Linked DNA regions of Macaca mulatta. The protein of the gene in region 3 interacts with the protein of the main gene of each other region in a pairwise test. Links are inferred from orthologs where the notes say so. Each region holds a gene or a part of one and is shown on either strand. Other genes may lie near its edges. The genes, in order: EIF5A2, NIF3L1, DHPS and MAPK3.

What was found.
Region 1: the proteins of DHPS (region 3) and EIF5A2 interact in binary tests that used the Homo sapiens proteins (3 or more experiments, as listed by UniProt). The two-hybrid records come from large-scale screens. The link is inferred for Macaca mulatta from reciprocal best matches to the Homo sapiens genes DHPS and EIF5A2.
Region 2: the proteins of DHPS (region 3) and NIF3L1 interact in binary tests that used the Homo sapiens proteins (3 or more experiments, as listed by UniProt). The two-hybrid records come from large-scale screens. The link is inferred for Macaca mulatta from reciprocal best matches to the Homo sapiens genes DHPS and NIF3L1.
Region 4: the proteins of DHPS (region 3) and MAPK3 interact in binary tests that used the Homo sapiens proteins (3 or more experiments, as listed by UniProt). The link is inferred for Macaca mulatta from reciprocal best matches to the Homo sapiens genes DHPS and MAPK3.

Annotation. Positions count from the first base shown.
Region 1 is NC_133407.1:82,589,664-82,593,683, forward strand, and holds the start of EIF5A2 (eukaryotic translation initiation factor 5A-2), read right to left. Parts: upstream 2,836-4,020; 5' UTR 2,754-2,835; intron 2,071-2,753; 5' UTR 2,036-2,070; coding exon 1,871-2,035; intron 1,327-1,870; coding exon 1,222-1,326; intron 1-1,221. UniProt on the Homo sapiens protein: Translation factor that promotes translation elongation and termination, particularly upon ribosome stalling at specific amino acid sequence contexts.
Region 2 is NC_133417.1:106,002,327-106,005,887, forward strand, and holds part of NIF3L1 (NIF3-like protein 1), read left to right. Parts: intron 1-420; coding exon 421-559; intron 560-2,401; exon of another isoform or gene 2,402-2,503; intron 2,504-2,765; coding exon 2,766-2,849; intron 2,850-3,561. UniProt on the Homo sapiens protein: May function as a transcriptional corepressor through its interaction with COPS2, negatively regulating the expression of genes involved in neuronal differentiation.
Region 3 is NC_133424.1:13,230,730-13,235,004, forward strand, and holds the start of DHPS (deoxyhypusine synthase), read right to left. Parts: upstream 2,806-4,275; 5' UTR 2,777-2,805; coding exon 2,570-2,776; intron 2,469-2,569; exon of another isoform or gene 2,128-2,468; coding exon of another isoform or gene 2,047-2,127; intron 1,376-2,046; coding exon 1,211-1,375; intron 973-1,210; coding exon 851-972; intron 770-850; coding exon 673-769; intron 594-672; coding exon 507-593; intron 1-506. UniProt on the Homo sapiens protein: Catalyzes the NAD-dependent oxidative cleavage of spermidine and the subsequent transfer of the butylamine moiety of spermidine to the epsilon-amino group of a critical lysine residue of the eIF-5A precursor protein to form the intermediate deoxyhypusine residue.
Region 4 is NC_133425.1:28,437,001-28,441,127, forward strand, and holds the start of MAPK3 (mitogen-activated protein kinase 3), read left to right. Parts: upstream 1-1,305; 5' UTR 1,306-1,374; coding exon 1,375-1,544; intron 1,545-2,568; coding exon 2,569-2,751; intron 2,752-4,127.

The DNA.
Region 1 (4,020 bases), on a different chromosome or scaffold from region 3:
ACATTTTCTCATTTAATCCTCATATTATCCCTATTTTGTAGATGAGAAGACAGGCTCAGAAAGGTTGTATTACTTGTCCAAAATCATCCAACTAGAAAGTGACAGAACTAGATCCAAACTCAGATCTACCTGGTTAAAAAAACCCACTTGCAAGACAATTCAAATTTCTACAAAGACTTCAAAGCAACCTAGAAAACATTTATGACAAGTCGGAAAATGAAAACATAGAAGTGTTTACTAGATTAAAACTACAAAAAAGTATGTTTGCATGTGGACAAACAGCAAAAGGAAATCATTGCATAAGTGCAGTTGATAGCAACATTAAAAAAATTTATACAATAAAGGGTACAGAAAAAAATCAGTTTAAGTTGGATAAAACAAATACCAGTGTCAACTATGTAGTTTTTACTACGTAAAATGAGCAGAAATGAGTTTGATATATGATATGCTTGATGTAGAAACTGAAGACTTTCAAGAAAAGCTTTAGTTATGAGTAATCTGAGCTTCCACATCCTATAAGGTCAATTATTTGGTTATCATCAGTACTCCAAACAACAAAATGCTATCATTAAATATGACCTACCCAAATGTATAGCTGGAACTAAAACTTGAAATTTACATATATAATTTAGCAAAAGGTCACAACATGGTCACTGAACGTAATTTAACCAATTACATAGTTTTCGTGTTTTCTTCACCATACTCAGTGACCATGTACTTTATATTTATGGCTTTCAACTTATTTCCCTACTTAAGAATGTCAGGTTCTGACTAACATTCATTAATACAAAAACTTGGTAGGAACATGAATTTCAGTAGTTTCTTGAATGTCTTAGGTCTGATCAGTGAAAAGAAACAAAACATCCAGGAGGGATGTTTTAAATTAGAATAAGAAATATATAATAACAGAGAGAATAGTACTTTTACTAAACATTGGACTTAATTGCAATATGCAGTCACTTGGCCTGAGGAGCACTAATAAGTATTTGACTTTTTAAAAAATGCAAGAATGTGAAAAAAAATAGCAAACTAGCAATAATCCTAGAAAAGGTACAAGTGTTAAACATCACTATTTCTCCAGTTTCTAAGATAGGTGGTGCCTAATAATTGGTTAGAAAAACCTACAAAACTACTCTTGGGTTTTGTCAAATTATTACTGATAGTACAAAGTATTTGCACCTTGAAGTAACAAGCAACATTCTAAAGAAAATCAGTGCTTACTTGATAATCATTTCTCTTAATATTTGGAACATCCATGTTGTGAGTAGAAGGACAAATATCTTCATATTTTTTGCCCGTGAAAATATCAATTCCAACAAGGTGAACCTAACAGAGGAGAACAGGAAACCTGTTTAATCTCTGCCAAGTATATCACTCATTACACACACAAGAGCACAATACCAACGCTGATTACGACAGATTCCTTTTCTCCGCCTTCCAAGGTCATCTGATTTTACTTAAAAAAAAGTAGTGGTCTTACAATTAGGAGGCAGTAAACAACTAAACAGTATCACATGTCAAGACCCAATATAGTCCAGTGATTCAATTATGAGATTACACAAGAAAAATAAAGTGTAGGTTTCTTAGAATTGCTGGAACAGGTTTTCTTATCTGTAAACTGAATAGATCTTCTAAGTCACTAGGATTCAGGAAAGTTTCAGTTCCCAGTTAATGAACATTGTTAAGGGCCCAAGAAGGGACTGCTACCTTTCAGTATTCAACGTAATAACTGATCACCCAGTAATTGTGGGAAGGAAAAAACAGTGCTTATTACAAAATTTTAAGTATAGAAATCTCATGATCTGTAACGGAACACAAATGATCAAAGTTCCAACGCCAAAGCCAAAGCCTGATCTGCAAGGGCACTTACCTTGGCATGCCCATGCTTTCCAGTTTTGGAAGTTGACATTTCCACTATTTTGCATGGTCGTCCTTTGAGCACCACGAAGCCGTTTTTGCGCAAGGCCGAACACTGCATAGGGTAAGTGCTGGAAGCCCCGGCATCTCCAGTAGTGAAATCAATTTCGTCCGCCATGGTGGGCTGGGGAGATGGTAGTTTTTCCGTGGGAACTACACACAAAAAGTTTGTGTTTGCTTTTCAACAACGGGTATGTAGGCACGGAAACGTCTCATTTCGGACAAGTTATGTGCCAAGCATCACGGGCCTGTTATTTCTGCATGTAAGGAACACCCACCCTAGACTAGTGGACACTTTCTAACTCTGGCCTCTACAAACTTTTCCAGCTATTGCTTGGGGAGGTGGGATGAGAAGTCGCAGAAGAGCTCGCTGAGGGTGGGGACACCCGCCCTGGGCGCTCCTCCGCGCTGGAAACAGCAGGTTGCGGCCCCCATCGCCCCACCGCAGAAGCCGGCGACCTTCCCGCGCCGCCCAGCACTCGGCCGCCGCCCCGAACCCTGCTGCGGGGTATCCAGCCCAGGCCGCACGTCCCCGCGAAGGATGCGGGGTAACAGAACCTGGCCGGCGGCACCCGGCCCTCTGCTAGCTGGCGCGCACCCCCCCGTCCACCCTTCAACGCCGCCGCCGCGGCCGCATAGGCGCCCCCTGTTCTGCCGGCATCCTCGGCTCAGCTCGGCCCGGCCCCACCAGGGCCTGAGCCCCGGCGGTCCCGCGCTCGCCTCTGTTCCCCCATCCATTCTCCTTCCTTCCCTCGGTCAGCGCTTGGCTCTGGACGCCTTCCCCGGCCCTGCCTCGCTCTGGCCCCATCCCCACCAGCTTTTCCCCAGGTCCTCACCTTTCAGCTGGCAAAGAGTGCCTTTCGTCTGCGTACCCGCGCTGGTCCCCTACAGCTGCGGCGCCGGCGGCGGCGGTGGCGGCCGCGGCAGTTCCAAGAGACGGGGCGGGGCCGCCACACTTTCCACACCCCAGCCTCCCCGCCCTTACCCGCCCCCACCTCAGCCCCATTTCCGGGATAGGCCCCGGAGCGTCACAGGCACCGCCCTCTCGGGCTACCATTGGCTACCAGATTCCTGAGGCTCCGCCCAGTCACGTGAAGAGCGCCCTGGCAACCCCACGTGCTGCGGATTAGTGCACTTCCGGCGTGGAGCGCACTTTCAGCAGTCTGATTGCCGAGGGTGAGCTCGCTGGCGGAGGAACTTGCGCCTTCCAACTCTTAGGTTTGTTGCGTTGGGGTCGCAGTCGACTTTAATGGGAACCAAGCAAGGCATCCAGTGGCCTCTGCCATCAGGTGCGTGGCAGTTATCACATGACAATTGTCAGAACTCGCGAGGCGCGCCGATTCAGCGAGTGCCAGTGTGGCTGGCTGTGAAGCGAACTTTAGGTTTGAGCTTCTGGTTCAGCTTGCAGCCTTTCTTGGGGTTCGAACCGCCTCCTGGTCCTTGAAGAAGAACTCAGGTGCGGTATTTTAATACCTAGCTCGGCACCGCGGGTCCTGAGGACCCCATTCACCCCTTGGTGAGAATTTTGGCAGCGACTGGCGCGGGGTGCCCCTGTAGAGTCAGCGCTGCTCCCCCGGGTAGGAACTCCTGAAGCATCCGCCAGCTAACAAGCCAGCAGTGAAATGAATTAATCCACTTCTCACAGCAAAGGCTGTTGTGAAGTTGTGGAGGCGAAGGGTGTCTGACTTCTACGGCATTGTGGGTCCAGAGAGGTGTTCTGCCACCTCATGCCTTCTTTCCTCCTGGCATTGGCATTCCTTAGAGTTTGGGGTTTAACTGTGCCACATTAGAACGCTTAGATGGTCTTCAAAATTGATCTAGAGCTTGTAGACTGCAATAGAAAGGTTCTTAAAAGAGATGTACTCCCCCTTCACAGTTTCATTTCACAACTCACCACAGTATCCTCTTGGGGAGGTGACCTAGGAAATTATTTCCCGTTCCACACCCGCATTTATGTGGTACTTTGATTTCCTATTGCTGTCTCATGAATAATCCCATACCTCACATTCCTATGTGCCTCTACAGTTTTCACATATCTTTCAAACATGTCCAATTTAACTTTTGCAATAAGTTACTGCCCTCTCATGTACTGCATTCAGCCTC
Region 2 (3,561 bases), on a different chromosome or scaffold from region 3:
GCTCACCTCTGCCTCTTGGGTAGCTCAAGCCCACCTCCCATTCAGCCTCCCAAGAAGCTGGGAGTGCAGGTGCACGCCACCATGCCTGGCTAATTTTTGGATTTTTTAATGGAGATCAAGTCTCACTATGTTGCCCAGGCTGTTCTCAAACTCCTGAGCTCAAACAATCCACCCACCTCAGCCTCCCAAAGTGCTAGGATTATAGGCATGAGCCATCGTGCCTGGCCTGATTATTGATTTAAACATCTGCCTTCTTAGGAAACTGTGAGCTCCTAGAAGAATGATTTTGTCAGGTTTGTGTCCCCACATTTAGCCTGGAGCTTGCTGTAGTAACCTCACAGTGTGCATACTGATTGATTTTAGCATTTGTTGTTTTAGGACTGACAGTGGACACCGTTTCTAACTTCTGTTTCTCCTCAGCCTTTGCTTCTACATACTGGAATGGGACGCTTATGCACACTGGATGAGTCTGTCTCCCTGGCAACCATGATTGATCGAATCAAAAGACACCTAAAACTATCTCATATTCGCTTAGCCCTTGGGGTGGGGAGAACCTTAGGTAAATATTGCTCCTTCATTTATCCAGTATGCCTACTGTTAACATTGGACAAAGGTTGAAACTCTTGATTGTATTAATATGTGATAGAGAATGTGTTAGCAGCTCATAGGAGATCATTGGTTTACTTTATTGATTAGGGTAGGCCAGGTCCTGCTGTGGAGTACATCTCATTGGCCTAATCAATGAGATTTATTTCTCTGTCATGCTATGTGTTCATTTCAAGTTGGTTATTTTAGGAAGTCTGGCCATTGTAGACTGGTTGTTGTTGCAGAGGGAGAGAGTTTTGCAGGGTCTTAAACCATCAGTTCAAAATTCCAGGAAACATGTTCATTTCTGCTCAACTTATTTTCCAGATTTAGTCATGTTATCCAATACAACCAAGGGAGGCATAAAGTGCAGTCTTACCATATGTCAGGAGGAGAGCTGGAATCATGATTGCTACAATTACAACATAAATTTTGCACTTACAAGACTGGTAATATTTTCTAGTGAGGTGCCACTGAGTGATCTGATCCATTGCAGTTTCTAAGTCTTGTATTTTTTCTTCTGGCCTTTCTCGGTACTTTTGAGAACAAAAAGAGTGAACAGACATTTGTTCAACACCTGCAGTGAACCTAGCACTGTACTGATTGTCTGTCCTGAGTGTGTGAGCTCCCACTGGCAAAAGCAGTGGGGCACAGTGGTTATAGGTATAGATTCTGAGCTCAGACAAACCTGGCTTCAGATTTGTCTGTCCTCTCTGTTTGCTGCTTGTCTTTGACAAGTTGTTTATGCCCTCTGTGTCCCAGTAGTCTCATTGGTAAAAACTGCATTAATAATAAAACCTAACTCAGAAGGTGGTAGTATAATCCATGTGACATGGCACAGTGACTGGCTCACATTAAGTATAGTTAAAGTGCTAGCTCTTGTTAGCTTTGTGGTTGGTACTATTTCTCCTATGTTATAGGTGAACAGTTTTGGTTCAGAGAGATAAGTAACTGTATTAGTTCGTTCTCACACTGCTATGAAGAAATGCCCAAGTCTGGGTAATTTATAAAGAAAAGAGGTTTAATTGACTCTTTAATTTATAAAGAAAAGAGGTTTAATTTATAAAGAAAAGAGGTTTAATTGTTCTGCATGGCTGGGGAGGCCACAGAAAACTTACAATCATGGCGGAAGGCACCTCTTCTCAGGGTGGCAGAAGAGAGAATGAGTGCAAGCGAGGGAAATGCCAGACGCTTATGAAACCATCACATCTCATAAGACTCACGCGTTATCACGAGAACAGCATGGGGGAACTGCCCCCATGACCCAATTACCTCCACCTGGTCCTGCCCTGGACCCGTGGGAATTATGGGGACACAGAGCCAAACCATATGAGTAACTTATGCAAAAGTCCAGTTAGATCAAACAACCCAAGGGAGTTAAGTGTCCAAAGAAAATGGATAGCAGAGGTGGGATTTGACTTCCAAAATAACTCCAAAGCCCCATCTTTGGGATACCGTGCTGCTGAACTGGAGTGACCACTGAAGAAGTGTCCATTTTAGAAACCCAAGTGCTAAATACTTGGATTTTGGTTCAAAAGTTGCGGTTATTTCACTTTTCAGAGGATGCTTTTTGAGAATAAATAGTATATTTAAAAATATGTGCCAACTCCATTCGTAGCATTCCTCTTTCTCACTAGTCCTTTTAGTTCCTTAGCTTCCTCCCCTGAGAATAGAGATAGTACTTGCCTACCTCTCACTGTTGTCTGAAGACCCAGGTGAGATTACTTTACCCAGCAACGTTGCGGTACTGCCTGGAGCTGCACCATTAGTACTATTCAGTGGTTTGTGAGTGTGCAGCCATGTCAAAGGAATAACGGTACTCCCTTCAGCAGCACATATACTAAAAATTGGATGATATAGATTAGCATGGCGCCTGTGCAAAGATTACACGCAAATTTGTGCATTGTTCCATATTTTGTGCAATTCACAAAGGTTGTTAGTTAAAAAAAAAAAAGGAATAATAACTGTACCTTGGGTTAGCTATGCAATATCAAAAGAATGACCTGTTTGCTTATATTAAAACATGTTTTTTTTTTTTACATGCAGAAAGAACAATTCGTATACTCGTGATGAGACCAGGAGTAAAATCTGTATTATGTTTAGGATTCTTGCTACAAATTATAATAGTAAAAAGAAAGGGAATTGTAAAGTATTGGTCTCTTGTTTCCTTTGTCTTAAAGAGTCTCAAGTCAAAGTTGTGGCCCTGTGTGCTGGTTCTGGGAGCGGCGTTCTGCAGGGTGTCAAGGCTGACCTTTACCTCACAGGTAGGACAGACTTTGGATCTCTCTTGGTTTATTTTTTGCAAAATCAAAAATGGCAGATTTTAGGACAGTACCTGGTACATAGATGATACCTAATTAATGTTTTGTAAACTTGAACTAAACAGAAACTACAACAGAATTGGGACATACTGCGTTCTTTGTGGAGGGATGAAATCATTGAACAATTTATTATCTCAAAAATTAATGGTCAGCATTTATTTTACCTACATTCTTCCTAAACTGTCCCAAACCTCTCAGATTTCACGTCAGTGGGATACTTTCTACCCTGTCACCTTAGCTAGGAAATGGTTCCTCTTAGCCTAAAGCCAATCATCAATTCCTATCAATTCAAGCTCCCAAATCTTTCTAGAATCTTCCCCCTTATCTGTCCAGGCAGTGTCTCCTACTTGAAGTACAGCATCAACCCTCTAATGTTATCTTCCATATATTCTCCTGAAATTAACTTTTCACAGTGCGTATTTGATGGTCTTGACTAAAAAGACTTCAGTGATTTCCTTCATCTGTCTGGTAGAGCCTGAACATTGCATCCTCTTTCTTGTACCCTTTGCATATGCTGTTTTCTTTGGTTAGAATGCCTTTTCCTTGTTCTTCTTGTGATAAGTGAGCACCCCCTCTGAGAAGCCTTCTCTGACACTGTCCTGCTTCTGCCTCTTGTGGGTCCCTGTCACTTTGTCCTTGATCTCCAGTGTGCACT
Region 3 (4,275 bases):
GCTGAGGCCCCACTAGTTATCTGTGTGACTAGGGACAAAATTACCTAGCCTGGCCAGGCACAGTGGCTCATGCCTCTAATCCCAGCACTTTGGGAGGCCAAGGTGGGAGGATTGCCTGAAGCCAGGAGTTCAAGACCAGCCTGGGCAACATACGGAGCCCCCCCGCCCCATCTCTACAAAACAATTTTAAAATTAGCTGGTCATGGTGGCATGTGCCTGTGGTCCCAGCTACTCGAGAGGCTGAGGTGGGAGGACTGCTTGGCCCCAGGAGGTTGAGGCTGCAGTGAGCTGTGATCACATCACTGCACTCCAGCCTAGGTGACAGAGCCAGATCCTGTCTCAAAAAAAAAAAAAAAAAAAAAAAATTTACCATGCCTATCTGTGTTTGAGTCTCCTCATCTAAGCGTGAGGATGCTGAGAATAACAGTGGTGAATCCCCAGGTGGCTGGAAAGATGAAGTAACACATGTCAAAGTCTGGCTACTTTGCCCCTGCTTAGGTCCTCACCTTCTGGGCCCAGTAATACACGGACTCTGGGTTGTTGATCTCCTTGCCCAGCCGGGCGATCATCTTAGAAGGCGTCCACTTTACACCCTAGGAGAGGAGGTGAGCTTCAGGCCATGCCTCCCCTGACTCCCACTGGACTGGCCCCTCCAGGTTGCCCCAGCCCCACCTCTGTGTTCTGCTCCAGCACCATCTGGTCCAGAATGGGCATCAGCCAGTCCTCAAACTTGCAGTAATTGTCATTGGGCACCAGCAGGTTTCCGATCCTGAGGACGGGAAGCATGTGGGCATCAGGCCCCAGGACCCTTGGTCCAGCTCCCCTGCCCAGCACCACTCAGGGTTCTTACCTATTGATTCCGTTCTCCCGGAGCTCCTTCCCCCTGAGGCTAAACTCGCCCAAGTATGTGGGCGCCAGGCACTTGATGAGGTCCTCCTCCACGCCGCCAGCTGTGGTCACCAATACATCCACCTGCAGCCACAGGGCAGTGAAGTTGGCCCAAGAAGGAAGCCCCGGCCCTCATTCTGGGCAGGACTTCTAACCTCATCCTTGTCCAGTGACTCCTACGAGGGAGCTCTGCTACAAAACAAAACTCGATTCTGTTCCTCTGCTTGTAACAGACTCCTATCTCCCCATCTCACTTAAACGATCAATAACTGCATCGCCCATTGACCCAGAGGCCAAGGCCACGGCCCCACCAGGTCCCCACCATGTTGTGCTGCACAAGGTAGCGAATGGTCTCACGGATGCCTGAACTGATGAGGTTGGATGTATATCCCAGGAAAATGGTGCAGCCGGTAAGTGGGCGGCGGCTCTGGGTCAGGTCTGCATGCTGGTCTTCATCCTGTGACAGTGGTTCCAGCTTCTTCTCGATCTGAGAGTAAGAGCCAGGTCGAGTTAAGCACTGGCGTTAAATCCCAGACCCAGGACTCCAGGTGGGCTCCAGAAACAGATTTCACCCCAGGCCCTGCACAGTCAGGGATATAGGACCAGTTCTACAGGAGACCAAGGTACATCTCCTGTGCAAACTCTGCCCCTTCCCAGACCAGATCTCAGGACACGCGTTAAGGATTTGCCCCCACCCTTTTTTTTTAGACAGAGTTTCACTCTTGTTGCCCAGGCTAGAGTGCAATGGCGCAATTTTGGCTCACCGCAACCTCCGTCTCTCAAGTTCAAGCAATTCTCCTGCCTCAGCCTCCCAAGTAGCTGAGATTACAGGCATGTCTTTTTAGTAGAGACGGGGTTTCTCCATGTTGGTCAGGCTGGTCTCGAACTCTCGACCTCAGGTGATCCGCCCGCCTCAGCCTCCCAAAATGCTGAGATTACAGGCGTGAGCCACCATGCCCGGCCTTTTTTTTTTTTTTTTTTTTTTTTTTGAGACAGAGTATGGCTCTGTCACCAGACTGGATTGCAGTGGCGCGATCTCGCTGCAACCTTCCGGGTTGAAGCGATTCTCCTGCCTCAGCCTCCGGAGTAGCTGGGACTACAGGCGCGCATCACCATGCCCGGCTAATTTTTTGAATTTTAGTAGAGACAGGGTTTCACCATGTTGGCCAGGCTGGTCTCGAACTCCTGATCTAGTGATCCACCCGCCTCGGCTTCCCAAAATGCTGGGATTACAGGCATAAGCCACCGCGCCCAGCCAGCCCCCACGTTTTTAGGAATCAGAGAGCATCTCCTTTCAGATCCGGTCCCTTCCCCGCTGGGAAAAGCAAATCTAAATTCAATCACCGCCCAGACTTAGGCTCCTCCTCCCAAATCCTCCCTTAACTTGTATAGCCTCAGGCTCCGCCCATTCCAGAAAGCTTTAAATTTACCTGGAACCCGCTCCCACACCGAGAATCAGTCCTTGCCTCCTCGGGCTACCGTACTACCCTGTAACTACTACAGTGCAAAATCCCCTTCCCAGGACAGAAACTCCCGCCCAGAATAGGTCCCGCCTTCCTCCAACTATTGGGCCGCTCAAATAAAAGACACATCCCCTCCACTGGAAGCCCTGCCCCCGTACCGCACTGGTTCTGCAAGCCACGCCCCTCCGCGTCCCTAGAAGTCCCGCCCCCGTCCTCACCATGGCATTGACTTGCTGTACAGCGCGCCCGAAGTTGGTGGCCTGGAAGCCGGTGGTGCCGAAGGCTTTCAGCAGCGCGCGGTAATCCACACCACGGTTGAAGTCGTAGCCCCGAACCTGGGTGCTTTCGGGCGGCAACGTCGAGCTGTGCTTTAGCACGGCGGCCAGCGCCGCCGCTGGCGCCTCCCGTTCCGGGGAACCTTCCATGCGCCTGTAGCCAGCTCTCGAGTCACAGCGGCCCCTAGCCGGGCTTACGGCGGCCCAGAAACGCGTTAATCCCCGACGCGTGCGTCTCGCAGGAGCACAGGAAGTAGGGAATGCGTTTTTGGAAGAAAGACCGGAAGTTGATTTTTCACGTGACCATTTTTAGGCCCTGTAAACCTGGTCGCCGCCATCTTTGCGCATGTGTTCCGTAATACGGAAGCCGCGAGGAGCCTTTAGGTCTTGTCTTTTTCTTTTTTCTTTCTTTCTTTTGTCTTTCTTCTTTCTTTCTTTCTTTCTTCCTTTCTTTCTTTCGTTTCTTTGTTCTTTCTTTCCTTCCTTCCTTCCTTTTCTTTCCTTCCTTTCTTTCCTTTTCCCTCTCTCCCTCCCTCCCTCCCGTCCTCCTTCCTTCCTTCCTTTCTTCTTTCATTCGATACAGGGTTTCACTCTTGTCGCCCAGGCTGGAGTGCAATTGCGCAATCTCAGCTCACTGCAACCTCCACCTTCCGGGTTCAAGCGATTCTCCTTCCTCAGCCTCCCAAGTAGCTGGGACTACAGGCATACACCACCACGCGCGGCTAATTTTGTATTTTTAGTAGAGACAGGGTTTCTCTTTGTTGGTCAGACTGGTCTCGAACTTCCGACCTCAGGTGATCCGCCCGCCTCGGGCCTCCCAAAGTGCTGGGATTACAGGCGTGAGCCACCGCGCCAGGCCTTTACGCCTTTTCATGTGTTCCCGACTTCGCATGAAGATTCTTTTTTATTTGTATTATTTATTTAATTTATTTTTGAGACAGTTATACTCTTGTTACGCAGGCTGGAGTGCAGTGTTGCAATCTCGGCTCACGGCAAACCCTGCTCCCCTAATTCAAGCGATTCTCCTGCCTCAGCCTCCCGAGTTGCTGGGATTATAGGCACCCACCACCACGCCTGGCTAATTTTCGTATTTTCAGTAGAGACGGCATTTCACCATGTTGACAAGGCTGGTTCTGACCTCACGTGATCCGTCCGCCTCGGCCTTCCAAAGTGCTGGGATTACAGGCGTGAGCCACTGCCCCCAGCCAAGATTTTAATGCCGCCTGCTGGAGACCCACCGCTTTGCCGGCGCTCGCCCATTCGTTTCTGTTCTGTCCCCTCGGGAGGAGACGCTGGTTTTGTTGTTGTTACCTTTTTTTTTTTTTTTTTTTTTGAGACGGAGTCTTGCTCTGTCGCCCAGGCTGGAGTGCAGTGGCCGGATCTCAGCTCACTGCAAGCTCCGCCTCCCGGGTTCACGCCATTCTCCTGCCTCAGCCTCCCAAGTAGCTGAGACTACAGGCGCCCGCCACCTCGCCCGGCTAGTTTTTTGTATTTTTTAGTAGAGACGGGGTTTCACCGTGTTAGCCAGGATGGTCTGGATCTCCTGACCTCATGATCCACCCATCTCGGCCTCCCAAAGTGCTGGGATTACAGGCTTGAGCCACCGCGCCTGGCCTGCTGTTGTTTGATAGGGTCTCACTCTGTCGCCA
Region 4 (4,127 bases), on a different chromosome or scaffold from region 3:
ACTGTTCCATTTTGTCTCTTGATCTGTAATGCATCCAAGGACCTACTCCCAGCTTCTCAGGGAAAAAAAAAAAAAAAAAAAAAAAAAAACCCACTACATGATTACTTACTGAAGGTTGGGAGCTGTGTGTTTTTGTGAAGCTTCCAGCTCATATCTTTGCTGTGAAATGAGGGGGATGGACTGGATGATCTCCGAGGGCCCTTTCTTCAGTTGTAACAGTCTGAGATGGACAGGTGTGATCCCAGAGCTTTGGGAGGCCGAGGTGGGAGGATCCTGTGAAGTCGGTAGTTTCAGACCAGCCTGGACAACATCGCAAGACCCAGTATCTACCAAAAAAAAATTATATTTTCTTTTTTTGAGATGGAGTCTCGCTCTGTCACCCAGGCGGAGTGCAGTGGTGCAATCTTGGCTCACTGCAACCTCCACCTCCTGGGTACCAAGCAATTCTCCTGCCTCAGCCTCCTGAAGAGCTGGGATTACAGGCGCCCACCACCATGCCCAGCTAAGTTTTGTATTTTTAGTAGTGACAGGGCTTCACCATGTTGGTCAGGCTGGTCTCCAACTCTGTCCTCAAGTGATCCGCCCTCCTCAGCCTCCAGAAGTGCTGAGATTACAGGCGTGAGCCATAGTGCCCAGTCCCCCAATTTTTTTTTTTAATTAGCAGGGCGTGGTGGAGCGCACGCATAGTCCCAGCTCTTTGGGAGGCTGAGGTAGGAGGATCACTTGACCCCAAGGAGGTTGAGAATGCAGTCAGTAAATATTGCACCACTGCACTGCAGCCTGGACGACAGAGTGAGACCCTGTCTCTAAAATAAAATAAAAACAGTCTAGGATTCTGAGAGGCATGGAATTAAAAAGAGCCTCTGTCAGAAGACATCATTTTGAGTCTCAGCTCTGTCATTACTAGTGACCTTACTCAAGTTAGTTAGCCCAACTCTCAGATTCCCCATCTGTAAAATTTGATTCATTTATTAGAACAGTTTTTTTAACCTAGGGTGATCTCGGGCCCAGGTTCTGGTGGGCTGCCGCACACATTGGCTGGGTGGCTCTGGTAGGTCACGCCCTGGCCGCTTCGCCTTCGAGAGGAGGGTGAGGACAGTCTCCGAGGCGGCGCTGCCGAGCCTCCCCGTGACTTGGTGACCGCGGAGCCAGCAGAGACCCCCGGGCTCCCGCACCTAGGGCGAGAAGGGCGGGCGCGCGCCCGGGGTGGGTCACGTGACGGCTCCAGGCCCGCGCGGGGCCGGGGGCGCGCGGGGCCGGGGCAGGGGCGGGGCCTGGAGCGCGCGGCCCTGCGGGTGACAGGCGGGCGGGAAGGGGCGGGGCCTCGGGCGGGGCCGCCGGGGGGAGGAGGGCGGCGGGAGGGGAGGAGTGGAGATGGCGGCGGCGGCGGCTCAGGGGGGCGGGGGTGGGGAGCCCCGGAGAGCCGAGGGGGTCGGCCCGGGGGTCCCGGGGGAGGTGGAGATGGTGAAGGGGCAGCCGTTCGACGTGGGCCCGCGCTACACGCAGCTGCAGTACATCGGCGAGGGCGCGTACGGCATGGTCAGGTGAGGGGGCGTTCCGGGGGAGGGGGCGCCCTCAGGGGAGGGGGCTTCACAGGAGAGGAGGGGGAGGCGCCGAGCGCTTTCCGGGACGTGGAGACGCGGAGCGTCCCGAGGAGGCAGGGGACTCGGGATGATCGGGAGCGTCCCAGGGAGGGGACCCCTGAGTGCTTTCTAGGGGAGAGGGCGCTGCCTGCGTCCTCAGGGGAGGGGGCTTGGAGGCTTTGAGTCCACCCTTCTGTAATGATGGGAGGGGCATCTGAGTGCATGTGGGGGCCCGCGGGGACCCTAGTGACACGGGGCGAGGCCCAGAGGATGAGTACTCTCGGGGAGGCGACATCCTTAGTGAAGAGGCAGTGGAGGGCCCGTTTTGGGGGAAAGGGTGTTTTGGATTCCCCCTGTGAGGCAGTGCCAGGGAGCCTGGGGTAGACGAGCCGAGATCAGGGTGGGGCAGGGCTTTGGCCCCACCACCACCACCACCAGGTGCCCAAAGAGAGATGAGGGGGCCAGGAGTGCCACTTGCATGTTTTGGGAGGGGTCTGTGAGTGCCCCCGGCCCCACCGTGAGCTCTGGGACAGCCCTGCTGCCCGCTTCCCTCACCCTAGGACCCGCCCCTGCCCTGTCCATTCTCTCCTGCCCCTCCCCTGGCTGCCGTTTTCCCAGTATTTGCTCCATGGTGTGCCCCCAGCATCTGCACCCCCGGACCTGTCTTGGGTTAAGGAACCTTTCCTGGGAATGGGGGCGAAGGGTTCAGGGCCAGTAGAATGGAAGGGGATTGAGGAGAGGGGAAGTCAGTGAGCGGTCAGTCTCTTCCTCTGTTTGTAAAGTCACCGAAGGGCCGCCTGGCTGGTCCCCAGCTTTCTCTCTGGAGATCCCAGCCCTACACAGCAGGAAGGAACCAGCATTGTTTATGATTTGACCAGAGCCAGCTCCTGCTCTCTCCCCTCCCTGCCAAGGCCTGGGTGGGGCCACCAGGCCCGGACTCCCCCTTTGTAAGGCCACAGCAGCAGCCTCTCTCCGGTCCCCTCAGCTCGGCCTATGACCACGTGCGCAAGACTCGCGTGGCCATCAAGAAGATCAGCCCCTTCGAGCATCAGACCTACTGCCAGCGCACGCTCCGGGAGATCCAGATCCTGCTGCGCTTCCGCCATGAGAATGTCATCGGCATCCGAGACATTCTGCGTGCGTCCACCCTGGAAGCCATGAGGGATGTGTATCCTTCACCTTGCCCAGTCGGCTGGTCATACACAGCCTCGGAGCTGGGCTGGGGACCCGTTGCTTGCTTTCTGTTTCCATCTTACCCACCACCCTCCAAAACAAACCCAGTAAAATAAACTTTCCTGCAGAGGAGAAGCCACAGTGTAACAGGACTTAGAGGCCTCTGATGAACCCAGGCCTGCTGCAGCCGGGCAATATGGCCTTGAGCAAGTCAGTTCTCTGCTCTGTGCCCCAAGGGGGAGGGCTAGACAGGATGGTCTCTATGGGAGTGTTGTCTTCTGACATCGGCAGTTCTGAGACATGACCCAGCTTCTGCCCACAGTCACTTCTTGCTAACAAATGGATGGTTCTTTCCTCTCTTTCCTCCTTCCCCAGACTGGAAGGGAGACAGGGAGAAAGCAAACTGTCAGCTGGGCATGGTGGCTTATGCCTGTAATCCCAGCACTTTGGGAGGCTGAGGTGGGCAGATTACCTGAGGCCAGGAGTTGGAGACCAGCCTGGCCAACATGGTTAAACCCTATCTCTACTAAAAGTACAAAAAAATTAGCAGGGCGTGGTGGCGCATGCCTGTAATCCCAGCTACTTGGGAGGCAGAGGCAAGAGAATCGCTTGAACCCAGGAGGCGGAGGTTGCAGTGAGCCAAGATCGTGCCACTGCCCTCCAGCCTGGGTAACAGCGTGAGACTCTGTCTCAAAACAAAACAAAAACAAAAAAACTGCCTTTCTTGAGGTCCTACTGCGTGTCAGGTACTATACATGCCCAATGCTTTTTTTTTTTTTTTCTATTACACCTCCCAACTACCCTATGAGATAGGCTTTGCAGCTTCATTTCAAAGATGAGGGCAGAGTGCAATGGCTTACGTCTGTAGTTCCAACACTTTAGAGGCCAAGACCAGAGGATCAGTGGAGGCTGGGAGTTCAAGACCAGCCTGGGCAGCATAGTGAGACCCCATCTCTACAAAAAATTTAAAAATTATCCAGCTTTGGTGGTGCATGACTGTAGTCCCAGCTACTTGGGATGCTGAGGCAGGAGGATGGCTTGAGCACAGGAGTTCAAGGCTGCAATGAGCTATGATTGTGCTACTGCACTCCAGCCTGGGGGACAGAACGCGACCCTGTCTCAAAAAAAAAAAAAAAAAAATGAAGAAGCTGAGGCCCAGAAAACCTAAAATCAAGTGTTTCTGTTGCTGTCTCCTCCTCCCCTCCCCCAGATGGAAACTTGTCCTTCTTAGGACTTCTCACTCAGAGCCACACCCTAATCACCTGTGGACTTGCACCTTGCCCAGGGAGGGACAGCCTAGCCTTTGTTGTCCTCCCCTGATACTGCTTTCCTAGTTTGCTGTCCACTTCCTGTCTGGCTCTCCTTAGCAAC